2 linked regions of the Coturnix japonica genome follow. The protein of the gene in region 2 purifies or fractionates together with the protein of the main gene of each other region. This does not show direct contact. Links are inferred from orthologs where the notes say so. Each region holds a gene or a part of one and is shown on either strand. Other genes may lie near its edges.

Region 1 (4,985 bases), on a different chromosome or scaffold from region 2:
AGAGGACCTAATTTAGTAGCATTATACTACTTCACTTTGAAAATGGCCAGTAGCTGCTTAGAAATCCTCTGCACGGAGGTAGGAGAAAACTATTCAGTTCTTAACTTTGAAAATGATTGATAAGGCAGCTCTTCACAACTAAATGGTTTATTTAATAAAGATAAGTATTAGAGAACATCACATTGTTAATGGCAATGCTACAAGTCCTGCACTGCTTGTGGCAGAAAGTTCTTCCTCCAGTGCAGCTGAAGGATGAGCTTGGTAAGCACTGTGGATTTAAGTTTTATCTCAATGAAGTACATATTGATTGTGAATGAACAAATTCAGACACTGGAAACTAAAACAGACGTTAGGGAAAAATTCTGATAGCATAAGAATGACCTGTGGATGCTTTAGGTTAATATCATTATTGAACAATAATTTTGAAGAGCCTTCCTGATGAAGGGAACACGAGTGTCAGCTGAGAGATTTGAGCATTTGTGATCACAGCAAGCTCACCTAAGGACAGAGAAAAGTGACTGGTAGAAATGCTGATGTCCCTTAGCTGCAGACAGCTGAGTAGGGGTTTCCTTTTCAAGAAGCCTTCCACTGCCTTCCACTTCAGGTCCATCAGATAAAGCACCACGTTAAGTGAGCTCAGGCACCCAGCAATTTCACTGGCCAGTCCTGGAAAGGGGACAGGTAAATACTCATTCCCCTCTAGCCCTCACAAGGAAAGCAGCAGGCCAGCAACATCTTTCATTGCTCTGTTAATGTAGGGAAAATAATTTCTGCTCATAGATATGAATACTGAAAAGTTGCTCCACCAACTGTGCACTTTTCACCACTAAACAGGGAGAGCTTTAGAAATGAAGTAACACACATAAGATGGAGCCTAAGGCACATGTATAAACACTACTCAGACAGTTTTCAAATTCACGACCAAGTGAGACTGTTCCAGGAGTTCCCAAGGCTCATATCAGATTCCAATTGGTTTAAGAAACCAATTTATTTTCTACTAGTCACTCCATTAATCTTGACAAATTATCCTGCTAATTATAATGAGCTGTAATATCATTGTAAACACAAAGTAAAACCATGGCAACACACGAGAAAGAAATAGCCATGGGAAACTGAGAAAACACAATCCAAAGCAACTGTAAAGCAAATATAGCTAACATTCATATTAATCTGGGTATATTTCATCATTTAGGGAAAGATTCCCTAGGAACAACAACACACAGACAGACTGGTTTTAGTATCGGTCTGCTTTTATTTCCATATTCAGCTCTTTGAGGGAGACATCCTTTCACAATCTGAAAGGAGGAGGATATAGCCCACTGTAGTGCTGCTTCAGCACACTAAAACATGTCATACGAAAAATGGATCTGTCGACTTTTCCCCAAACAAAGTGAACACCTGTCCATGCACTCGGGACATAAAAAGAGTCCTGAAACAGAAACATTGTGGGTAAGAGATGTGCGCTGATGAATCCCACTTCACTGGCAGGAAGTCAAAAATGCCAGTTGGGAAGTACTGCACAGGAGTCAGAAGTAAATACTGGTATTAGTGGATTTAAAAAGAAAATTGAACCCTTCAAAAAAAAAAAAAAAAAAAAAAAGAATAAAAATTTAAAAAGCAGTGCCTTTTCAATATCTCACTGTAACAGGCAGCAAGATTTAAAGGCACTACAGTGTGGCAGAATGGAGAAAATCTGGTGCATCCACCCTTCCAGAGTGTAAGAATATGGATTAAAAACTCCAAAATTGATGTAGACTTTCTGGAAATGAACAAACCTCTTTTCAGCACAAGTTACGATGGTGCTGCAAAAAGGAAAGAAGAGATGAGTCAGTTGCTGTGCTTTTTACAAACAACCTTACTGCAGATGCTAGCTGGTGAAAGGCTACAAAGTACGTGCTTCACCTGTTCTTAAATTGGTATTTAAGTCCAGAAACAAGGCAGCTTCTCTCCCTCTACCTTCCATAAGGTATCTCCCACATATGGAACATAGATAAGCTAGATTTATTTTAATCTCTAAATATTAAATCTATTATTTTTTTTCTACAAGAGGTAAACAGCTCCATATTTTGACTCCTTGGATATCCAGGGGCTACAAAGCTGTGCAGTGACAGCTGCAGAAGGCATGCTTCCAGTCTCCCCTTCCTTAAAGGAAGTCCTAAACATGGCAGAAAACCTGAATTACATTCTTGTGTAAAGTCCCATGTGAATACCTTCACCAGTAAACTTTCTTTTCCCTCCTGAGTACAATTTCCAGCTCCTTAAAGAGAGAACATTTCCTACAGGAGCTGCTGAAACCAGCATCTGTTTTCAACATACAAAGATACAATATGAATTTGTAAAGCAGAACATGGGAAATCATTGGATTAAATAGAGATTTCAGCAGCAAGCAGTGAAGGTTAGACAAGAGAAGGAGCTGCTGCCAGATTTCTAATCATTTCTAGAATATCATAGATTTCATGTGGACATCTAAACACCTGCTCAAGTTCTATCGCAGTTAACGTACTGTACAACCTTAAGCATATTATTTAAGCCCTGTCCGATATTACCTAGCATGAAATTCTTACAAAAAACAAAATTTTCAAGTCTTATATTAAGTTAGAGTTCTGTCAGTAGCAGAAATTGAAAAGCCTGCAAGGAGCTCCATTTAGAAGTTGACCCTGGTTGTCACAGCAGTCATTACTCTTGCAAAATAGGACGTAGACAGTATTCCACCCAGTACAGCTCATAAATCTGACAGTCTGTGACTGTATTTAAGAAAGCTCTTGTTTGTTCACTTCAACCACATAAAGCAAAGCAAACCAACTCAGAACAGCACATGCATTCATGCACAAGCAGACAACCTTCTGAAACAAATTAATTTACAGTGACAGTTGACAGTAAAGTTCCTCTTTTCTGAAAGCTACCTTACCACAATTTATTAGATTACTCTGGTTCTGCAAGGGTAATAATTTCTTCATTGATAAAAAATTCAACAGTTTCCTCTTCCCAGTCATCAACATTGCTGTCCAGCTCATCCGTGTCTACCCCTGGAATGGAGAAAGGAATAACACAATGCCTCAAACACAGCAACAAGAGAATGATTCTATGATCTTTGTAGGAACAGTTCTTAAAACAGCACTGAAATGAGAGGTACTTCTTGTTTCAAATCATAACAAGGACATGCTAATCTACGTGTTCCTGCTCCAGCAGGAGGATTGGACTAGGTGATCTTTCAAGGTCCCTTCCAATCGCTGACATTCTGTATAATGTCAGTGCGTGACAAATAAGGCATTGCTGTCTCCCACCACAGAGTTCTTGAGGACTTTTTTGGCTATACGTAACATCCAAATCTCTTATGCCAAGGTCAAACCAAGGCTCGCCTCAAAGCAGAAAGAAGATACGTAAAGCACAGGCAGCCATGTCTGGCAGCCAGCACTTTCAGTTTTAATTAATTAATCAAAATTAATTGTGATTTAAGAAAATAAAAATCAAGAACAAAACCTCCAGAAAAAGTTTGGCAGGAAAAGAATAGAGAGAAAAAGTAAACGAGTTAGCAGAACAGTTGATACTTGTTAAGAAGTGGTAGCTATCTAACATCAAGTCCGTACAAGTACTGCATGTGGCTCACCTCCTCGAAGCTCCAAGCGCTCGTTCCTTTGCTCCATGTACAGCTCTTGTGCCATCTTGCGGTACTTTCTGAATTCTTCCATCATTGTACGTCTCCTTTCCACCAGCTCCTACAGAGGCAAGAAGCTGTTAACTCATAACAAGCAAAATGCATGCAAAATGCATTTGTTAGCAAGGAAAACTTTTCTTCAGTCCTTTCCACTGACTTAAAACCGTTTATGTAATTTAAGAGCTGCTTTGGTAAGGGTTTGTTTTTCTGTTTTTAAAGGCTTTTTTATTAGATTAAATAGTCTAATACAACAAGTAACTAAGAATCCCAAACTTTCACTTCTGCTTACTGAGCTATCACCGGTGTCTCTACAAATTCATTACCGCTTAACCTGAAAGCTGAGTGGCATCTGTGTGCACTACCCATGGGAAGCAAGTCTAAGCACCTGGATTAACACGATCACAGATGTTCATAATAAAAGAAATCTAACATATATGACCATTACAACAATGACATTGCACAGATTAAAAGAGCTTCATTTATGTTATTGTATTTCAAAAAGTCTTACTTTTGAAGCTTTCGACTGGCTCAAGCGATCCTTCTGCTCAAATATCTTTGAGTATTTCTTCAGATCCTTCTTAATTTGCTGTAAAACAGAATTTTATTTCAGCTAAGGTTCAAGTAAGACTAACAAACACAATCATCACATTCTAATAAGAATTTCCCTGGCAGTTTTAAGTATGCTTAGCATACTTAACATAACAACTGCTTTTCTAGGCCATTCCTCTCCACTGTTATTTTATTTGTTCTTCCAAGCTTACAGATAACAAACATCTCTGTAAGTATTCAATTACAGAAGTCTGGACAGGTTATGTTCAGTTGTGTTACTCTTCACATCCTCTCACTATATCACAACAGTAAGCACAACTGGTTACCGTTTCTATTCCAAACATAAAGAACAGTTAATATTTATCAGTCACTCCCATAAGTGAGGTCCACTATGGCAATATGGTTTTTCAAAAGCTCAGGGAGAAAAGCAATCTTACAGCTCTAACAGTTCAAGCCTCATTCTCAAGGAAAGGAAGATAAACCCTGGTTTGTATATACATACACACCAAACCCATGTCCAATAGGATTGAGTGGAATACACTACCTTTATCTGATCCTCACTGAGCAAGGTAGCTGGTCGTGGTCTCCACAGAAGCTGACAGAACCTGTCCTTATTGTTTTTCTGAAGCAGACGTCCTTGGAAAGTCCACAACCAATATGCATTGTCCACCTGCAAGAGTGGTGTAACATCTCAACCAAGGCAAGCTGTAGTTTAACACTCTCATTCTCACTATATATCTTATAAGGATATATTAAGAACATTTCATTTGTACATAATAAA
Region 2 (4,759 bases):
CCAATACAAAAGCAATTACTCATTATGAAATGCATAGGAGGAACTTTTTAGAACATGGGATGGAAAGGTCAGACCTTCCCAAGTGTGGCAGGCGAGCACTTTTACTGCCTTCAGTATAGTGGGGTTTATCTTTGTAGAAAAGAGTCCCTTACCTTTCCATAGCCTCCTTTGCCCAGTACGCGCAGTAACTCAAAGCACTCCGGTCGGATCTTTTCTGGACCTCTGTTTACACTAGTTTCTGAAATCTCAAATTTTTCACAATGTTCCATGCCACTGGATAAAATTGAAACAAGAATATAAGACTACCTGGTACTTGACAATGATCAAGAGAAAAGTAAGCAAGCAAACCACTTACGGCAAAACTCACGCTAAAACTGACATATCTGAATGACTGTTTTGGAGATAAGGAGGATTTTTAGCATCAGAAACTACAGCTCTGTGTGTGCAAAGCACTATGTTTCAGCTTGCACAAAAGACTATCTGCCTGTATCAAGATTTCCTTCAGATGCCTTCATTTCAATGCATCATATATTTCTGTATTGTACCAGAATTAAGTTTGAACGGCCAACAACTCAAGCTGAGTTGGACATTCCCAAAAGATAACAATGCTGCAAGGTGTGTTTGAGTTTTAAATCACATCCAGCAGTCCCCACAGTCACAATATAACTTCTGTAACAAATACTGTGCAGAAAAAGCTAAAACAAAAGAAGTCACAACTCTGAACGTGCCACAGAAGACTGATCCACAACTTAAGGATGTTTCTAAATCATACTACACTTCTATAAAAGACAGGGTGAGGCCAACACCTGACCCTGCTACAGAAAAGGTAACTGAACTGTTTGAACTATTGCTGCTTTCTCGTTACGTGTGGGACACTGAAAACAAGCTGGGTATCTATACATAAAGCATGGCTAAAGGTAGCTGTCTTGTGCAATCAAATCAGAACTGAATTCTCATCTACTTCAGACTGCTGTGCAAATATGCAGCCAGAGCCTCTATAAGCCCGACAGAACACAGAATGTTCTGCAAAGAGGGCACTACACTCATACTGCAAGTATTATTCAAATACAACACAACAGCTATGTTAGGAGAAACAAGGATTAAAGACAACAGCAGGTTTTGCCAGAATTTGTTTTATTATTATTTTTACATACAGTCACAAACTTTAATGTGAAGAAATAGCAAAAGAACTAAAGCAACTCAAACTGAACAAGAATGACAAAATTTCCTATTCAACTTAACAATGTAACCAAAGTAGAGGCTATACGTAGTTGGCATGAATGGTACAGAACATTTTCTTAGTAGCAACTTACAGGTCATATTGGCCAACTCCTCCGTGGTCCATGCTCTCACTTAATTGACCCTGGGGACAGGAGTAGAAGGAAGATTAAATGCAACATAAGAAAGCATAGTTAAAAATACATGTCTTTTACAGCTTCTTTACATGTGTGAATATGTTTACACATATAGTTTCTGTTACATGTGCACACACATATATGTTTATGTATATATAACTAAACAAGTTTAAATATCAAGAATCATTAATTATGAGCAGAAGACAACAAGCCTAAAAAATACAGTCCAAGAGTTGCAACGCTTCCACATAGCTTAAATTCTGATGCAGGAGGTCTGGTGGTAATCATAGCCCAGTAGTAATAACACACTCTGGTCCTGTATGTATTTTCTGATCAACAATCATTCAGGCAGATTAATGCACAAATATTTCTAAAAAGGCTCAAGCACTTCAACAGCAGGACCAGACGCCATTAAAGAATGCAGTTCAATTTTGAAGGCATATTTTCTTCAAACAATTTTCAGCTGGACCCCTAATGCAAGATAATACCTCGCTCTAAATGTGGCTCTACATGGCAGAAGTGCAAAGCAAGCAGACAGCTGGAAGGAATACAAATAGAATTTAATGGGCAAGCTTCTAACAAACTTCAGACTGTGACAGGTTACATTTTCAGTTTTAAAAATATATACATAAAACAGCAACTGCGAGTCAGTGATGAACAGCTTCAAATCTACAGCCTGGAATCCACAGCCAGAATCCTGAATGAAGTTCGAGTCTGATTCCAGGACAGAGGTTTGCTTGCTCACATCCCCTTGCTAGTGTTTATTAGAGAAACCCAGCCCCCTGCCATCTGTTTCACAACAGAACCAGCTAAATGTGCCCTTGACCCAACCATGAGACAACAAGGAACAAATTCAAAACAGCCACCAACTCAACAAACAGAATAAACACCCATCGCGTTCCCAGATGAATTTCAGTGTCCTTCAGATCCTTCTAAGATACGCACAATCACTACAAAAAAACACCTTTTACTCACACTTTCCTCACGCTCACATGTTCCCCTCTCCCCAGTTCTGTTTTAATTTCAAGTCCACCCTAATCTCCCCAGAGGCACCTAAGTACTGCATTAGGTTGCCACTGTGCACAGAAGCTGGGCCACAAGGATTTTTGTGCTACTCTTAGAACCTGTTCTTGGCAATGCAGGTGCTGTGTTGCAACCGACGTTTGTAAGCCAGGTCCTGTATTGATTATTGGGATAGCAGACAGCATTTCTCCCACAGCCTGAGCACTGCCCTGCCTTCAGCCAGCAGACTCTGCAGCTCACATGCAGTGTGATATTGCAGCTGTACTTTGGGGTGTCTGCTAATCCCAATGACTGGTATTCAAATAGCATAGCAGGAATGCAGCAGCTTAAGCACTAGCAAACATTTAATATATACAACAACATATAAAAGCAACGGTAGCACTAGAGCTAACATAAATAACACTAGATACTAACAGCGACCACGCAAGAGGATACCCGAAGGGGCCTTAAAAGCATCTAAATGAGTATGATAGAAGAATAAATACAGATGACGGAGTGACCCATGTGGGGACACGCTCAGACCCCGGACAGCATTTCAAAGCTTTGCTTTTGATTTTGGCGCCAGAGCGATGCCTGCACGCAGCTCCAGAGAGACGAGAGCACAGCCGCACTGACGTCCCCACATGTGACACCAAACCCCGCTGCCACGCTCGTGCTACAAAACCCACCGCGAACATTTCAGGGTAAAACTCTCCGCCGGAACAAGGCCGCTATTAGCGAGCGGTGCAGCGGAGGTACCGATGGAAGCACCGCAGGGACGGGCCGGAGCTCGACGGGCCGCAGCCGGGGCGGGGCGCGGCCTCACCTGCGCGGGCCCGGGCCTGGGCCTCCGCCTCTCTTCGCCTCAGCCGCTCTGGCCGCCTACAGCCGCCTACAGCCGCCCCGTCCAGCCCCGCCGCCCCCTCATTCCTCCCCCTGTCTCCGCTCCTCCCTGCGGCCTCCCCCACCCGCCCGCTCCCCGCTCCGGTCGGTCTCTCCTCTCTCACCCCCTCCTCCAGCTCCTCATCCGAACCCGCGTCCTCGGGCTGGTCCAGATCGATGTCGAACACGCCCGCCATGGCGCGGGTGTGAGCCGAGGCGTGGCCGCCCCTTCCTCGCTGCGCTGAGTGCCCGAGGCCTGGGCCGCCTCATGGGCCCGCACCCCCCAACTCCGCCACGGCCGCCATCACGGCCGCCCGGCCTCACTGCGCATGCGCCCCCGCCCCGGCTGCGGGCGCCGCGCGTGCGCACAAGCCCATCCTGCGGCGGCAGGTGCCGCACTGAGCATGCGCGGCGAGGGCCTCGGCCGGGCGGCGGGCGTAGAGCTGAAGCTGAGCATGCGCAATATGAGCCCACCTCCCTCGCTCCCGGTACGGAGTTTGCGTAGATTGCGCAGCGAAGCCGCGTGCGTAACGCATGCGTAGTGCGCGCTGTGAAGCGCCGCAGCCCGACGCTTGTGCCCGAACTGCGCCGAGTTCCCTCTGAGCATGCGCACTGCGGGCTGCCCCCAGTGAGGCGCGGCGGGCAGGGGGCTCGTCAGCCTTGAGGAGGGGCCATAGTGTGTGGAACCCGCCCAACCCACCCCCCTGAGCCGGCATCGACCTGATGAGAGGTCGGGGAGGGAGGGAACGGCGAGGAGGAAGGAGCTGGGAGGGGAAGGGCGGCCGAGAGACGTGAGGGGCGGCCCGACAATATGGCGGCTGTGGGGAGCGGGCGGGAGATCGCGGCGCTGTGAGGGGCCCTGTCAGCGCCAGGGGGGCGGGAGCGGCCTGTGCGGGGAGAGAACCTTTGTAACATCGGTTTTTTAACCCCCCATCGTGCTTTTCTTTTGTTTAGGGCCAAACACGAGGTGAATTAGAATGTCAATAGTCACAGTCCAGCTTGGGCAGTGTGGTAACCAAATAGGTCAGGAGGTGTTTAACACCATCTGTGGTGATGTCCGTGGCACGCATGGATTGTGTTCCAAGAAGGAGAACGAAGCCTACCACCATGCCTGTACAGAACGGTTTTTCAGCGAGGCAGAGTCTGGAGGTACAGCCTTTAGGTGCTCTGTGTCCCACAGAGGATACAGCCTTTAGGTGTTCTGTGTCCCACAGAGGATACAGCCTTTAGGTGTTCTGTGTCCCACAGAGGGTCTGTTTTCCTGCCTGGTACTGACACCATCCAAGTTCTACCTTCAGTCTGGAAGAACTGTCCCAACCTTCTGCCTTCCTGACACTGCTTACAACTACAGAAGCAAAGTCACAGCTGGTAGAGTAACTGAGGCCCCAGAGCACATCTGCCAGTAACAGAGCTGGAGACAGGACGTGTATGCATAAATGATCTGCTCTTCCAAACATCTGCTTTTCCTGCTGTAGGCAGATAGCACCGCTGAGTAGGGCCTAGACTGTTTGAATCTAGTG

The links. Proteins that work in one complex are often made in the same cells at the same time.
Region 1: the proteins of RPS6KB1 (region 2) and EIF3B purify together in Homo sapiens (affinity purification with western blotting; 3 studies listed by BioGRID and IntAct, with this or other methods). This does not show direct contact. The link is inferred for Coturnix japonica from reciprocal best matches to the Homo sapiens genes RPS6KB1 and EIF3B.

Annotation. Positions count from the first base shown.
Region 1 is NC_029529.1:3,199,212-3,204,196, reverse strand, and holds the end of EIF3B (eukaryotic translation initiation factor 3 subunit B), read right to left. Parts: intron 4,875-4,985; coding exon 4,749-4,874; intron 4,242-4,748; coding exon 4,164-4,241; intron 3,717-4,163; coding exon 3,608-3,716; intron 3,027-3,607; coding exon 2,923-3,026; 3' UTR 2,904-2,922; intron 1,803-2,903; 3' UTR 1,230-1,802; downstream 1-1,229.
Region 2 is NC_029534.1:6,133,894-6,138,652, reverse strand, and holds the start of RPS6KB1 (ribosomal protein S6 kinase beta-1), read right to left. Parts: upstream 3,604-4,759; 5' UTR 3,437-3,603; coding exon 3,365-3,436; intron 1,364-3,364; coding exon 1,314-1,363; intron 274-1,313; coding exon 153-273; intron 1-152. Other genes in the region: TUBD1 (tubulin delta chain), read left to right, coding at 4,217-4,388. UniProt on the Homo sapiens protein: Serine/threonine-protein kinase that acts downstream of mTOR signaling in response to growth factors and nutrients to promote cell proliferation, cell growth and cell cycle progression.